Tamandua tetradactyla: one gene and its partner. The protein of the gene in region 1 purifies or fractionates together with the protein of each later gene. This does not show direct contact. Links are inferred from orthologs where the notes say so. Each region holds a gene or a part of one and is shown in the gene's direction. Other genes may lie near its edges.

Evidence for each region.
Region 2: the proteins of MRPL34 (region 1) and RPL19 purify together in Homo sapiens (co-immunoprecipitation; 3 studies listed by BioGRID and IntAct, with this or other methods). This does not show direct contact. The link is inferred for Tamandua tetradactyla from reciprocal best matches to the Homo sapiens genes MRPL34 and RPL19.

What each region holds. Positions count from the first base shown.
Region 1 is NC_135337.1:95,465,697-95,473,584, forward strand, and holds the start of MRPL34 (large ribosomal subunit protein bL34m), read left to right. Parts: upstream 1-4,793; 5' UTR 4,794-4,925; intron 4,926-5,203; exon of another isoform or gene 5,204-5,375; intron 5,376-7,089; 5' UTR 7,090-7,110; coding exon 7,111-7,322; intron 7,323-7,500; coding exon 7,501-7,717; 3' UTR 7,718-7,888. Other genes in the region: protein ABHD8, read right to left, coding at 558-701, 1,145-1,361, 1,499-1,669, 3,281-4,034, 4,529-4,739.
Region 2 is NC_135332.1:27,998,689-28,006,511, reverse strand, and holds the start of RPL19 (large ribosomal subunit protein eL19), read left to right. Parts: upstream 1-4,786; 5' UTR 4,787-4,861; coding exon 4,862-4,866; intron 4,867-5,830; coding exon 5,831-5,937; intron 5,938-6,676; coding exon 6,677-6,799; intron 6,800-7,476; coding exon 7,477-7,597; intron 7,598-7,823. Other genes in the region: CACNB1 (voltage-dependent L-type calcium channel subunit beta-1), read right to left, coding at 1,875-1,958.

The sequences.
Region 1 (7,888 bases):
TCCGACCCACCAGGCCCTTCCCTGCGCGCAGCACCGGTTCAGAGGCTACGATTGTCACTTTTTATTAAGTTACAGGATGAGATGTGCAGGTTCGCTGGCGCCTGCCCCTTTCCACCACGTTTGGGCGACAGTAGCCCCCAGCCCCGCAATGAGGGGTGGGGGGGAAGGACAGCACGGGGTCCACGTGGGCCCCAGGATCAAGCGCGACTGACACGGAAGACAGAAAGCGGGGTGGGGGGTGGGGGGTGGGGGGGCCTGTCTCCGCCGTGGCGTTTTTTTTTGGGGGGGGAGGGGTGAGTGGGGGGGGGGGCTTCTGTACAAGGTCATCCTCTGCGGAGGTTCTGGTCACGGGCCGGAAACCACACGCTGGGCGGGCGCGGAGCGCAGCGTGCCACGCCCCCGGCTCCCCGACGCCCCGCCCCGCCGGCCTGGGGGCGTCTCCCGGCCTGACCACGCTCACCGGGGCGAGCGGCCCCCACGCGGGGCCGCACCGCCGCTCCCGGCTGCCGCCTGGCCCGCGCAGCGACTGTCCAAGGGGTGCCGCCTCCCCGCACCTACTACTTCTCGGGCGCGGGCAGCGGCGCGGGCTCCGGTTCCCACAGCAGGAACTCGTGGAGCAGCGTGTTCACGGTCTCGGGGCACTCCAGCATCACCATGTGGCTGCCCTCATCGATGAGCTTCAGGAAGGCCAGGAGCAAGATCTGCGGGAAGTTCCTCCTGCTGTCTACCTTTCATCCGTCCCCTCCCACCCGCCGGGGAGCCAGGCGCAGGGCGCCCGCATCCATCCAACTGGCATTTATTAGGCGCCTATGACCTGTCTGCAACAGGATTTCCCTGCTCGGGTAGGGGCTGTTCTTTGTCGTGGGGTGTGGGGGGTCTGTCCTGGGCATCCGAGGGTATACAGCAGCATCCCTGGGTCCCACTCACCAGATGCCAGGGGCACCCCTGTCCCCAAGCTGAGGCAGCCAAAAACGGTCTTCCATGGCCCCACAATAAAAAAGCCCATTCCAACCAAAATAATCTCCCAGGTTGTCAGAGCCCTTTGGGGGTCCCTTACAGCTCCATAGCCTGCACCCCAGGAAGACACCTGGCGGTGTCCCCTGGCTCCCACCCCCGCCTCCCTGGCACCTGGGCCCAGGGCTACCTCAGCCATGCGCTGGTCCTCCTCCACCGGCACGAACTTGTCATGCATGCCATGGACCAGCAGGACTGGCACGGTCAGCTCGGCGTGGTACACCTCGTCCCCCTCGGGCCAGTACTGGCCGCTCATCATGGCCCGCAGCACGAAGGACGACACGTTGAAGGCGTTGCCCTCCTTCAGCAGCTGCTTCTCCTTGGCCCCTTGGCGGGCAAAGCCAGCCCTGGCAGAGGGAGAGGCATGGCCGGGAAGCCCCTGGTGCTAGCCCCCACCCCGTGGTAGCAGACCGCCCTTCCCTGCCCACTGCAGCCCCGGGAGAGGCTGGGAACCCTCCCCGGAGGGTGGCATGGGGACACTCACTTGAGGAAGCTCCAGGCCAGGCAGGGTGACAGGCAGTGCAGGACGCAGGTGGGCATGTTGAAGATGGAGCAGAAGCTGGGCTCCAGGGCCGTGGGGCCCCCACCGTTTATCATGATCACCTTGTGAACCAGGTCCGGGTACTCGTGTGCCAGGAAGGTGCAGAAGGAGACGCTGCCAGGGAGGAAGGGAGGGCGGGCGAAGGCTGGTGGTCAGCAGGGCAGAGGAAGGCCAGGAGCAAGAGCTGGGTGATGCCCTCCCCTCACCCCACAAGGCAGGTCCCTTGGGGTCCATGGGCATCTGTTGGGGGGGGGTTGGTGCATCTCGGATGCCCCCAAATTGCAACATCATCAACATCACATGTTTCAAGGAAGGAATTTTTTTGGACAGAGGAGCTGGCTCCAGAATTCTGATTGGATTCTCAAAGGCTCCATGATCCCCCCAAAAGGGAAAGAGTAATGATTTATTTCCAAGCATTGGGAAAGCAATCGATTAAATGATTGAAAGAACCCTTCAGCTCCCCAGAGAAGATCGCCCAGTTTCCTGCATAACTCTTCCCTGGAAGGATAAGCCAGCCACCCCACACGCCTCTGGGCGTGGCCCACCAGCCTGCCTTACGCCAGGTGGAGGGGTGCAGTCTCAGGGTGCCCAAAGTCCAGCTCATCATTCCCTCTAAAGCAGGGGTCGGCAAGCTTTTGTAAATAAAGTTTACAATTTGGTAAAATGGTATTTTGTAAATAAAGTTTTCCATCGGCACAACCACATTCATTCCTTTCTGGCTGCTTTTGTTCTACTGTGGCTGCAGTTGAGAAACTGTAGGGAAGACCTTGTGGTCAGAAGCCTAAAATATTTACTATCTACCCCTTTAAGAAAAAGTCTGTGGATCTCTGCAGTAAATAAAGCAAAGGTTCAATGAGCTTCCATCATCGAGCCACTGTGTAAACAGAGGCAGGACTCAGGCAGACCTGATCATGCCAGACTTGCTGTGTGCCCTTGGGCAGGTTGCTTGACCTCTCTGAGCTTGTCTCCACATCTGTGAAATGGTCACTGCACTGACCTCATAGCATTGTTGTTATTTAACACATGTAAAGGAGTCAACAGGAACTACCAGTTTGGGTGCTCATTTAATTGGAGGAGTCAGTTGGCATAAGCATTGACTTTTTGGGGAGGCTAACTAACCAAATAAAACCCACCCATGTTACCTCTGGACCCTGATTCCCTTTTCTGGGATATTTAAGTAACTTTTTTTTTTTCTTGTCTTATTGCATTGGCCAAACTCGCTAAAACAGTGGTTCTCAGTCTGGCTGGTTTTCCTTGCCAGTTGAGTGTAATGCTGCTTTGTAGTAGTTGGGTCCCACAGCCCAAAGCTTTCCTTCCATGGTGCCGGCTCTCAGTAAACGCTAGATGGAATTATCACCTTATTAGGGAGAACAGATAACAGCCATCTATGCCTTCCTAAACAGACTTTATGAGATTCCTACTAGCATTTCCTTGACCACACAGAGGGAACTATCAGCGCTCCCAATGTCTGAACTTCATCTAAGATCACACATCCACACCAGGGGCCATTTTGCTGGCTATGTGACCTTTTGGCAATGCCTGGAGACATCTTTTATTCTCATTCTCATCGCTCCTGGCTCCAGTGGGAAGAGGCCAGGGGTGCATGGAAAACATTGCAAAATGTGGCAGGTATTCATGGCATTTTTTCCAGGAGGGAAATGGCATTTGGTGTCCCCGTGGGGACCCCCAGCCCCCAGCCGCAGCCCCAGCCCGGGGCTCTCTCACCCGTAGGAATGCCCGATGAGCACATTCCGCTTCTTGGCATAGCGCTTGAAGATGGCGCGCATGTCCTCAGCCAGCGCGTAAAAGGTGTAGGCGGCCGCCACCTGGGGCACAGAGCTGGCCCCATGGCCGGCCAGGTCAGGGGCCACCACCTCGTAGCCCAGGCGCACAAAGAAGTCCAGCTGCTCCTTCCAGATGGCCAGAGAGCCGCCCACACCGTGGATAAAAAACAGCACCACATCCGCCTGGGCGCCCTTGCAGCTGGTGATGCGCTTCTCGCAGTCAATGTGGATGGTCCGCTTGGGGCGCCTGGCGCGGCGCCGCCGCCCACCACTGCCGCTGCCCGCGCTGCCGGGGCCCGAGCGGCCGTCGCTGCCCGCGGGGTCGGCCAGCTCCACTTCCAGGGCGGCGGGGGGCTCCCCGGCCCCGTTCTGCCCGTGCAGGAGGTCGGCCCGCGGCGCCCGGCCCAGGTTCTCCACCAGTAGCCGCCCGTTGCGGTACACGGTGATCCGCCGCTGGCAGCGCACCAGGCCCGAGCGGTCCCCCTGCTCCGGGTCCGGCGGCGGCGGCGGCGGCGGTGGGGAGGGGGCCGCGGCGGGGCCGGCGTGCTTCACCCGCAGCACGCGGCCCGGCTTGACCTCCACGAAGGTGTAGCCGTCGCTGGACTCCACACTCTCCAGGGGGCCCACGGCGTTGGGCTGCGCGCCCAGCAGGCAGCAGAAAATGCCATCCGCCACCCCTGTCAACATGGTGCGTCCTGGGAGGGAGCAGCAGCCAACTCAGGGACCAGGGGAGGGGAAGGCCTCAGCCACCCCAGCGCCCACCCGAGGCCACGTGGGGCAGGGGGGCCCAACTGGGAGACCCCTTCTCCAGCTCCGGCTTTGGGGTGCAGAGGCACCAGAAAGGTCCTTCTTTGAACTTGAGTTGGGAAGGGGCCAATGAGAAGGGCTAAGGTAGTTGCTGAGAGTCAGGGGGACTTCCTAGAGGAGGGGGCATAGTGGCAAGTTTGGTCCAAGCCCTGAAGACCACCCTCCCACCCCACCTTGGGTTTTAGGCAGTTGAGGCCTCCTAAACCCATTCATTCATCTACTCATTCATTCATTCATTCATGTATGCAATCTTTCATGAACTCACTTTCCCTAAGCCAGCATTTTCTAAGGGCCTCCTAAGGCATCCTGAAGGGTGCTGACCCCCAGTGGCTCTGCCCCTGGTCCCCGGAAAGTGACAAACGAGGGGGGACCCCATTCTCACTCAAGCTACTCATTTCAAGGGGTCTCCCAGAGCTCCCGCCTCTGGGGTGAGCCAAGCCTATTTCACAGAGGGGCAAGCTGAGGCCCAGATCCGTGGGGTGAGGGGCTGCTCCCTGTACCCCAGGTTGGTAGCCCGGATCTGGGGGGTTGTCATAAGAAGGCATAATGGTGGCCATGGGAACTGGGATGGACAGGCCTCTGGGGGCCTCCATGCTGCATCCCGGCCGCTTGGGCCCACCCACCCCCCGCCGTGTCCATGGCAACCGCAGGAGGTTACATAACGCGAGGGGGAGCCCCATGCAGTGCACCCCCATTGTCTAGGGCCTGGGGGCGCTGATGGAGATCCCTCCCCTCCTGGACCCCCAACCTGGGCACAGAGGGGTGAACGCACGCTGAAGGTGCAGCCCGCGATGGGCCCTCCACGAGCTGAAAGAGGGGGAGCAGCCGCGCCCCCCACCCCGGGCGGGGCCCCTACTCCGGGTTGCGGAGCGGGACGCAGATGCGAGGCGCCAGGCCCCCGCCTCTCGGGTGCCCGTGAGCCCCGCGGTGGGTTCTTAGCCGCCGGGGCTCCGCAGCTTCCTAGGAGCCTGGGCAAGGGCTTCGCGGGCCCCCCACCTCCGACACGGAGGCCCCGGGGACCCCGGCGCCCTCCGCCCCGGGCCCGCTCCCAGCTCACCTCATCGAGTGCCCCGGGGCCCGGGGCGGGGCGGAGAGGTCCCGGACGGAGAAGCCACCGTCGCCTGTGGGCGCCGTTTACATGGTGACGCGGGGTCGGGCGGGCGCGGGCCGGGGCGCTCAGCGCTGGGGCATCCCGCCGCCGCGATGCCAGCCGGCCCTTTAACTCCCTCCCTCGTGGGGCGGGACCGCGTACGGACCGGCGGGCGCCTACGCCAATCGCGGTTGCGCCCTGAGCTGTCCTACTTAGCTGACCAATCAGAGGCGGCGGCGCCGACCTGGGCGCGGGCTCTAGGAACTGCGGCCCCGCCCCTTTCGGGGGCTCACCGAGTTGGCGGGAGGGATTGGGCCTGCACCCAGGCAGAGAAGGGGTCGTAGTCTGGGGTCTGCAGGCTCCCCTGAAGGGCAGCCAGGTCCCTCCCATCGCTTTCTGGGGTCTCCTCAGCCAGCCCCTTTCTCGGAACTGCCCTATTTCCTCCGTTTTCGGGTAGGGAAACTGAGGCTCATAAAAGACAGGTCCTTGCACAAGGTCACAAGGCAAAGGGGCGGGGTGGGGGTGGGGGCAGAGGTGGGCCTTGACCCCGAGGCTGGATGAGGCCACGTCCCAGTAATTTGTATTTGCTCAAACTTTGAACCGTAAGTAAGTAGGGAATTGGGAGTTTCCCACACCAGCCTGCTCAACCGATGGCTGCTGATGCAGTGGAGGGGGCACCGGAGGGGGCAGCTCCGTGTTCCAGGCTGAGGCCCTTAGATAGCCACGGGTTCAAATCCAGCCCCTGCCCCTTGCTGGAAATGTGGTTTGGGGCCATCCACTTCACTGCCCCGAGCCCCCATTTATTTCTTGGTGAAGTTAATCCCTCAAGAGTTCTCTGTGAAGGTCAAGCAGTCAGCACTGGACCTTACATTCATCAAAAAAAATCATTGCAATGGCTGTCTGCTAAATGACGGCGCCGCGGTAGGGGCTCCAGAGGCCCGAGAGTTAATGGCTTCCTCGCCAGGAGCCCACTCCCTGCCCCTGGAATTTGCTGCCTGAGCTGGGTCAGGTCTTGCCTTCCCACTCAGGGCGCTCCTGGGAGACTGCACGGTTATTCATTCAGCAAACGCTCCCCACAGCTCTCTGGGCCCACCCCCGGCTGGGAGAGGCTGGGGCGTCCACCGGGAGGGACTCGGCCGCAGGTCAGGCTCTCACCGCCCTTCCCGGCCCCACCTGGGGCAAACACTCCCAGCCATGTAGGATCTCGGTTTGGCCAGAAGGAGAGACGAGGGTGAGGGGAAAAGGCAGAGGAGGGCACATGGGGAGGGTTTAAGAGGATGAGCAAGGGGACATCAGGCAGAGAGGAGGGTGTGGCTGCAACCCAGAGGTGTGTGTGTAGAGTGCCTCACGTGCCTGCCCCAGTTGCTGGACATTTTCCCCTGGGGCAAGAGGGAGCCACGGAGGGTGAGTGACAGGGGAGGGGCTCAGATCTGAGTATCAGAGCCAGAAGGAGGGCAAGACCGGCAAAGATAAACGTGCGGCCCGTGCACCTTACCACCGAGATGCTGATGCCCTGGGGAGAGGCAGGGACCACGCCAAGGACACCCAGCCAGCTAGATCTCGGGCCTCCTGGGCTCCCCGCCAAGGGGCGGAGACTTGGCAGGGGACAGAGAGAAGCTGCCAGCCAGCTGAGTGCCATCTGCCCGGCTCCCGCTGGGGGTGGGCGGTGATCAGACCAGCCGTTTCCTGCGGCTACCACCAGCTGCGCCACGGCCACCACGGGGCACCCTCTGGAGGGCGACAGAAGGAACTACAACTCCCAGCATACCCCACCTCGGGCATAATGCGCATGCTCAGAAGGCGCCGCTCTCGCGCCACCTTTCGTTTACCCGAAGAACTACGTTTCCCTGCAGGCACGGACGCCGGCTCCTTTGATGCGCAGGCGTGGAACTACAAGTCCCGGAGGCCTCCGCGGCAAGGCCTCCGCCGGAGGAGGAACTACATTTCCCAGAAGACTTCGTTCTGCGGCTGCGGCACCGCCGTCGGCAGCGACGGCGTTGTCCCGGCGAGACATGGCTTCCTTGGCGGGTACTCTGGGTCGCCTGTGGGGCCGCGGCGGTAGGTCGGCGGCGCTGCTGGGGGGCAGGTGAGTACCCAGGGGAACCGTTCCCCAGATTTAGGAGTGAGGCGGTGTCGGGCTGGCGTGGGCTGTCCCCCACCGTGACGCCGCCGGGGCAGGAAATTGGGGGCTCAGAGAGGTTGTGTGCCGCGCCCGAAGTCACACAGCAGCCCTGCTGACGTTTTTCTCTGTCAATCTGCCCCAGCACGTGGTTCCAGCCTCGGGCCTGGCTGGGGCTCCCGGACGCCTGGGGCTTCCCGTCTCTGCAGCAGGCCCGGGGCAAGGCGCGTGGGAACGAGTACCAGCCGAGCAACATCAAACGCAAGCACAAGCACGGCTGGGTCCGGCGTCTGAGCACCCCGGCCGGCGTCCAGGTCATTCTTCGCCGCATGCACAAGGGCCGCAAGTCGCTGAGCCACTGAGGGTGCGATGCTGCCGGCGGGACCTCCAGTAAAGGGTTTTTCCTCGTCTGGGGAGCGGGGACAATCCGAACATGAGTGCTCCCCAGAGTACGGGGTGGAGATTTGGGGTGGGACTGGAAGGGCGAGAAGTCTTTCCGCTTTTGAACTAGGCAGAATTTCAAACATTTACAA
Region 2 (7,823 bases), on another chromosome or scaffold:
GAGTGGCAGCTCTGAATCCAGACCCAAAACTAGATTTGGGGGAGGGGAGGGTACATGAAACCCTATTTGGAAACATCCAATCCCAGTCCAGTGTCACGGGGGCAGATCCCCCAACCCTCTGGCCCTGGCAGGCCTTTTCTCACTCCCCCCCTCACAATCACAGTAGCCACACCTCTCCAGGGGGTGGCAAGAGGGATCCAGCCTCCACCCCCAGTTGCCACTGTCCACGCCCTGTCCCCATGGTACCCACCAGGCTACGTCAATCTAAATGCCCCTCGGCCCCGCCCCAGGCCGAGCTTAGGACACAGCCTCACAGGCCTCCGCGGGGGGAACGGGCTCAGTCTTACTGACCAGGGCTCTGGCTTAGATGGACACCCCTTGGGCAGCCCATGTTCAGGTTACAGGTTTCGGGTATTTCCAGGCCTCCTATAAAGGGGCTTCTTCTTTGTCTCCCCCAACTCAATGTACACACTCGGCCCCTGGTCAGTCCAAAAAGTTAGGGAGGGGGTGATTGAGAGTTCAGGCCCTCCAAGCTCTTCCCCAGCCCCCCACTCCCACTCCCCAGTCTCCATCCTAGAGTTTCCTTTCACCAAAGAACCTGAATGAGCCGGGACCAGACTGGAGGCTCTGGCTCCTGGGTCCTCCAGGACGGAGGAAGAGTAGGTGGGAGAAGAGGGCACCTGGGGACCTTTGAGGATCCTCCCTCACCTCGCCTTATCTCAGGCCACACATCTACCCAAACAATGTTTGAGGACCCCTATAAACCTACCAATGAGCCCCTGCCTCATTCATACCACCACCACTGTGAGGTTGGGAAAAGGGAGTGGCACCCAGAGAGACAGGGGACAGCTGAAAGGAAGCCCCAGTCAGTTGCCTTTCAGACTCCAAGGGGCCTGGAGAGGAGGAGGGAGTATTTTTAGGTTTGACCTGAACCCCCCACATACCCATCAACCACATTATCATGGTGGTTACAGTTGCTCCCAGCTGGCCACAGCAAGAGAAGGATTCATGCTTGGGGCTTTGGTGGGCTGGAGGAGGACAAGTCCCAAAGAAATCCCCTGGTACAATCACCTCAGGCCCTGCGGATCAGCCCATGGGCACCCACCACACCAGGAATGCCCCTTCCAGGCGATAACCCAGGGGCATAGGAAAAACGTGAGTAGGGGTGCTGCGGCAGACCCCTCCTCCAGCTTCTCCCCCTCCAGGAGAGTGAGTTGGCATCCATCCAACTTTCTAAACTTTGGAGGTGCTTTCCGCGGCTCGAGGAAAGACAACGTGGGTGTTGGGTGGGGGAGGGGAGCTGGTCCAAGCGATGGGTGGGAGAAGTGTGCCTAGGGATGGGGGCCTGGCCCAGAGCTGGTCCCTTCCCGCAGCCTCGAGGGCCACGGTCCGCGACTCCGAAGCCTATTGGCACCGCCCTCCGCCCATCGCCTCGGCCATCTCCCAGTGCCACCCCCGCCCCACCCACCCCCGCCCGGCGCCCCGGAGCGTGCTCTGCGTAGCCCCCCTAGCGTGGGCTCGCTCTCCAACTACCCTCGACCACCCCTTCTCAAGGCCCAGATTCCCCTGCCGGCACCCTCAATGCCAGTCCACTGGAAACGGTACCCCAGCAGCAGGGACCCTGACGCGGGGGAGGAGTGGAGGCAAGGGCGACAGGCGGCCCAGCCGCCCCCTCCCGCTCCACAGCACCGCAGCCCAACTCCGGGCCAAGCGCCCATCAATCATTAACCCGCAGAGATGGGGGGGCGTGCAAGCACCCCTCTACTCTCGGTGCCCTGCATATAACCCCTTCCTTCCCGGCGCCCCTCGAGTTGGCCCCACAAAGGTCCGCGGGGAATGGCCCTCTTCCCTTGGGACCGGCCACCGCGTCTCACCTGTGGGCTGGGGTCGAAGACCTCCATGGGGATCTCCTGGGAGGGTGGGTACGGGCCCCGGGACATGCTGGTCTTCTGGACCATGGAGAGGAACCTCCCCTCCGGCCGCTCGCCCGGCCCAGACCGGAGCCCTCAGCGCATGGGAGAAGCCGTCCGAACCGAGAGCAGCGCCGCGCCGCGCAGCCAGCACCCACTCCAGCCACCCAGCCCGGCCTCCGGCTACCCCCTTCCTGCCGAGCCTCCTCCTCCCTCTCTCTTCAGCCGCCGCCGCCTCCTCCGCTCCTGAGGGCTCAGCATCTCCCCCCGCCCTCTCCGCTCCCACCCAACCCCTCCCTCGCTCCCTCCCTGTACCCGCCCCGTCCCCGCCCCTCGCAGCCCCTCCGCGGGCTCTGCACAGACAATGGGAGAGCTAGAGAGCTGGGCACGCCCCTCCCGGTCTGGGATCGGGCCTGGGCCGGGGCCGAGAGCTGGCCTGGAACCGGCCTGGGGTGAGAGCTGCGGCCTCCGGGAGGGTTGAAGAAACCCGCTTTCGGGGCGGGGGACGGGTGGGGGCGGGGCGGTTGCCAGGGCACACCAAGCGGGGTCGGGAGAATGCGCGGATTGACATGAGTGGCACTCCGCACCCCCAGCGGCGTCCCAAACCGCTCTTCCAGGGGGTCTTCGCATCCCACTCCTGCATCCGGTACTCCCCGGTCCCGGTCATCCTAGGAAGCGGCTGTAGCTCCTTTATCTCCAGCGTGGCACTGAGGCCACCTTAAACCAAACAAAAAGGTCCCTCCTCCTTCAATAGAGTTCTGGGGCTGCCGCAGGAGGGCTGAAGCGGGAGTGGAGGGGTGAGTGGGGTGATTGAGAGAGGGTCCAAAGGAAGATCCCACAAAGACAGTGGCAAGAGACGGAACCCCAGGGACTCAGGAGTCCTGCTCTAATCAGTTGCTAGGATCCCCAGGCCCTTCCAAAAGGCCAAGAGTAGCACTGGTCCCGGTTCCATGGAAGAGGGAGAAAAGAGAAGAAAGAAATGTGGAGCTGAGGGAGAATGAGACTGGCTAAAATCAGATCTCATGACCTTTAACCTAGAAACTGTTCCCCTTTTATCCTTGTTTTTGGGGACAAATACCCAAGATCTGGACCCCATTTGTGGAGAGACTGTGGTGCCAATCCGACTCAGGCTCCTACTGGTTGTATGGCCCAGGGTATGTAACTACACATTTCCGAGTGGGTTTCGTCTCCTGTAAAATGGAATTGCAGGTATATTATGCCTTTGTCACTGGGTTTATTGGAAGAATGAAATTAGCTGATGGGTGTTTGGGAGGGATCTAAGATGCTGTACAGGGGTCAGTTATAATCTCTGGACTGTCCCATTCACTCCCTATTCCACCCCTTACCCTGCTCCACTCAGGCTGAGAGATGAGAAGAGTGATTTGTCTAGGACCCCTTAGCCTTAAAATAAGCCTAGTACATTGTGTTCTGCTGGAGGGGAGATTGTAGGATTGACTGATTCCTCCTGTTCACCAGGATAACACACACAGCGAACGGCTAGCCTAGATCACATCTCCTTTTGGGGGGAGGGGAAGTGAGGATGAAGGAATAAAATCAATAAAAAAAATCCAAGAATGCACACATTAGCATTGTTCCTAAGTTTGTTCATTAACAACTTCAACACCAAGCAGGGTTCCTGCCTGCCCCTTGGGGACAAGAGAATCTCGCGTGACACAGAAGGCTTGGGTTTTGCAGTCAGAATGACTTGGGTTCTGAATTTCCATTGCATCACTCAGGTATAAAATGAGGATAAGACTAATTATATAGTGAGGAAGTGGTGTTAAATATTGCTTCCCTTCTTTTGATCTTCTTTGCTCCATTTAGCAGTCAGAAAAGCTCAAGTAAAAGAATGAATGCACAACTCTGTGATTATAATGGAAGCCATTGATTGTTCACTTTGGATAGGTTGTATAGGGTGTGAATATATCTCGATAAAACTGCTTTTAAAAAAGTCAATCAGGAAAAAAAGAGAGAGAGGGAAAATGAGAGAAAGAGAGGGAAAGAGAGAGAGGTGATCAAGATCAAATGACACCAAGCAAGGAATTGGAGCCAGAACTGAGAACTCATAACTAGGCTTCTTAGATCTCAGGATGTTCTCCTTGAATTCTTACACTGGGTGCTCCAAAACAGGAGGAAAGAACTATGGGTGTACCTCCATTCGAATAGTTTTTTTGGTTAGTTGGTTTTAACTTTTCCCAATCATCCATTCAGCCAACACAGCACTCCTCTAGTGCCACAAATTGGTCCCCACTCTCATAGAGCTTGCTGTCTCAATGCCTTCCTATGCAAAGTGCAAACTCCAACTCATGTGACCTTCACAACTGGAAGACAGAAATATTAGGATTAGGTCCATTTAACAGAGAGGAAAATGGAGGCACCAAGAAATTAAGAACCGCAGCAGCGTAAAAATACTAGGTAACGTCTTTGGTAATCTATCTGCGGTCCAGAGGCCCCCAATCTACCATGAGAATGAATAAGATTGTTTTGAAAGATCTGCCTTCATTCGCTCTCACTGCATTCACTAATTCTTTCTTTCCTCGCCAATAAAACACTCTTCCTGCGATTCTGGGTTCTGATAAGCCTGCAAGAGGCCTCTCTCACCAAATCCCTCCCACCTCGCCTACGCAATCCAGTGTGACTTCCGGCCATCCAATACCCACGTGATCAGATACCCTTGCTGCGCATGACTATTAGGAAGTCGGACTATACCACTTTACTCTACGGGAGGGGTATTTTTTCTATATTTTTAAGTTAAAAACAGATTCCTGATGTTGGAATCCTATTATCTCGGAACTGAGCAGAGAATATAGATTAGTTTAGGGTGTGGAAGAAGAAAGAGACGGACGGAAATACGAACGAAAGTGGAGCAGGGCATGGACTCTCCCCTTCACAGATAATGGGATGGGCCCGGCCTTAACAAGTTCTTTCCTTTCGGCGCTGCTGTCGCAGCCATGAGGTGAGGGTTCGTGGGTCTCCGGTTTCGGCTAACCTGGGTGGGGGACGGTGGGCTTGGTACCGTGGCCACAAGGGAAGGGAGGTGAGATGGAGGCAACTTGGAAGCGGCGGGTCTCAGAGCTCGGGGTAGGCCGCAGTGCACTGGGCTCTGGGTTCGAGAGGATGGGGGTGGGGGAGCGTCCTAGGAACTCGAGATTGGCAGGAGGTTGTTCCGCGACCCACGTGGGCTAAGGAAAGGCCACAGGGGGAACTAGGTTGCGACCCCCTTACCCGCTGGGCGCGCTCGCAACCTAGCCGATCCCCGCTTACGTGTGACGTGGGATAAGCCTTGCGCAGGCCGCAGGCCGCAGGCCTCCGGCCACTGAGGGTTAGGTGATTGGCCAGCTCTTTGACGCTTTCCTCTCCATTCATCCCTCCTGCGAGAGACCTTAAAGGCCCTCCGGACGTCACTTATTGTTACTGTGATAACACGAGGAAAAAAGCCCAGAAAGCAAAGAACTTTTTTCCTAAGTCCCCAGATTGGAAAGGAGGTCCACGGGCCTTTCCTTTAAACACTTGTTTTTAGCTCTGAACACCAGAAAGGGCATAAGCCCCCTCTCCATCGCACCTTTATCGTTAACTTCATTTTCTAGAGATGGAAACTGAGGTACAGAGCGTTTAAAGCATAACTCAAAATTTTAATCCCAGGAATGTCAGTTGTCTCCTACATTAAGGACTGCTTAAGACCTTAGCAAGGTCGTGATTTGGGGAAAGTGTTTGCTCTGGAAATGTGGTGTGGGTAGCAAAAGTGGCGATGTGTGTTTGCCCTGCTATAGCAAGTATCTATATGTGATTTATCCACTTTCCTGTAGATGTGACGTATCACAACATTAAAAGACCTCAGTGGGTGGGTCTTGCTGGGGAGGCACATTATTATTGCTCAGGAGTGGCTTCCAGGGCCTGATGGAGTTTTCTCTGTGCCACAGTATGCTCAGGCTTCAGAAGAGGCTCGCCTCCAGCGTCCTCCGCTGTGGCAAGAAGAAGGTTTGGTTGGATCCAAATGAGACCAATGAAATCGCCAATGCCAATTCCCGTGAGTCCTTGGAATCGATGTTGATTGTCTACCCTGCTGCTCTCCTCATCCTGTGTTAGAGGAGTAACAGGACTGCATTGATTCTTTACAGTCCTGGGAAAGCTCATGGTCCTTGGTTCTTATAAAATGGAGTCACAAAAATAAGGCAGCACCAGAGTTCCCTTTTTCTGCCATTTTCCAGAAGGACAGGGTGGAAATGTTATGTTTGTGGCTATTTCTAAAGTGGGTATTATGTTTTGTGGCTACGTGCAAGATTTGGGATTTGGGGGGTAGAGGTTGCCAAGGAAACAAGGAATTGGGAAGATTGGGGCCTTGGATCTTTGTAGAAGTCTGTTGGCATATTAGTATTCAAGGCAGTTACAGAGGTCAGGCCTGCAGGTGGCACAAAGACACTCCTATTTACTTCCACTTAATTTCAAGGAAGTGCTTTACCTCTAGGGGTTCGTGGTGCTAAAAAAAAATCTCAATCGACAATAAGTAATAGGTAAGGCAGGTGACTGGCTGTACACTATTTTGATCACACATCCCCAGATGTATATTTTTTGAATGTGCTATATAATATAAGACATTTAACATGGAGAAATGTAAAACAAGAGAAAGCAAGAAATACAGAGGTTCCAGTATTTTTACCATCTTAAGACCACTGGGTCAGAGATCTAAAAGTTTGGATTCACCTTTGCAGCTGCTTCTGTAGGGGCTCAGCCCCAGTTCAGTGACTAGGTGCATTATGTTTTCCCAGGTCAGCAGATTCGGAAGCTTATCAAAGATGGGCTCATTATCCGCAAGCCAGTGACTGTCCATTCCCGAGCGCGATGCCGGAAAAACACCTTAGCCCGCCGGAAGGGCAGGCATATGGGCATAGGTAACTGTGGTTTTCTACCTTTCTCCATGGCTTAAGAAATATTAGGTGCTTGAGTCTAGAGTGAGAATGTCACATATTTGGAGTCTTTTTCTTCCTGCTCTGTCTCATCTTGAGCCCTTTTCTTATTCCACGATATCTCGTGTGTTTTTTGCTTGTGTGCAAATCAGGAAGTTGGTACTCTTGTTGGAATTGAAAATAATCTTGGTAGAAAGAAGTCACATTTATTGAGCTCCTGCTCTGTGCCAAAGATTAAAAGTTGTCCTTTTTAATCCTAAAACTACCCTGGGGTAAGTGATTCAGGTAGACAAAGGTCATTCCATGTTCAGAGCCTCTTCCAGCCTACTATACAGCCTTGGTGAGCACCCTGTCATATCCATAATTCTGAATGAAATAAATGGGGGAATAATTGCCTTATTTGTGCTTCACCAAAAATTGTGTAAGTGAAAGAAGAAATTAAATACTTAATCCTCAGTTATGAAATAGAGGTAATACTGCTTAAGGATGTTGTGAGGATAAATGAAGTAAAGTGCTTTGCATATGACAGTGAATTATAAAGTGTTTCAGAAGTTGATAGCTATCCTTTTTACCCATTAGCTGGCCTTAGTAACTGACATGTGGCATTGACACGCCATAGTAAGCCTGGGCGATGACTGATTCCTAATCCACCTTCTCTGTAGGTAAGCGAAAGGGTACTGCCAATGCTCGGATGCCCGAGAAGGTAACTTGGATGAGGAGGATGAGAATTCTGCGCCGGCTGCTCAGAAGATACCGTGAATCTAAGAAGATTGACCGCCACATGTAAGAATACCCTCCTCGGTCCACCAACACCAGTGTGCTGCTTTGAAGGGTTATTCTTTGCATAGACGAGAGTTCTGTCTCATTGGCTTTGGGGAAGGAGCCATATGCCTTTCACATTCCCCTCTGCTTTGCTCCCCCCAGTACCCCACCAGGATAGCCCAAGAATTGACTTTATCTGCCAAGCAAGCTCTTTTGTCTAGAAGCTATACAAAATCTTGGTTTGGGG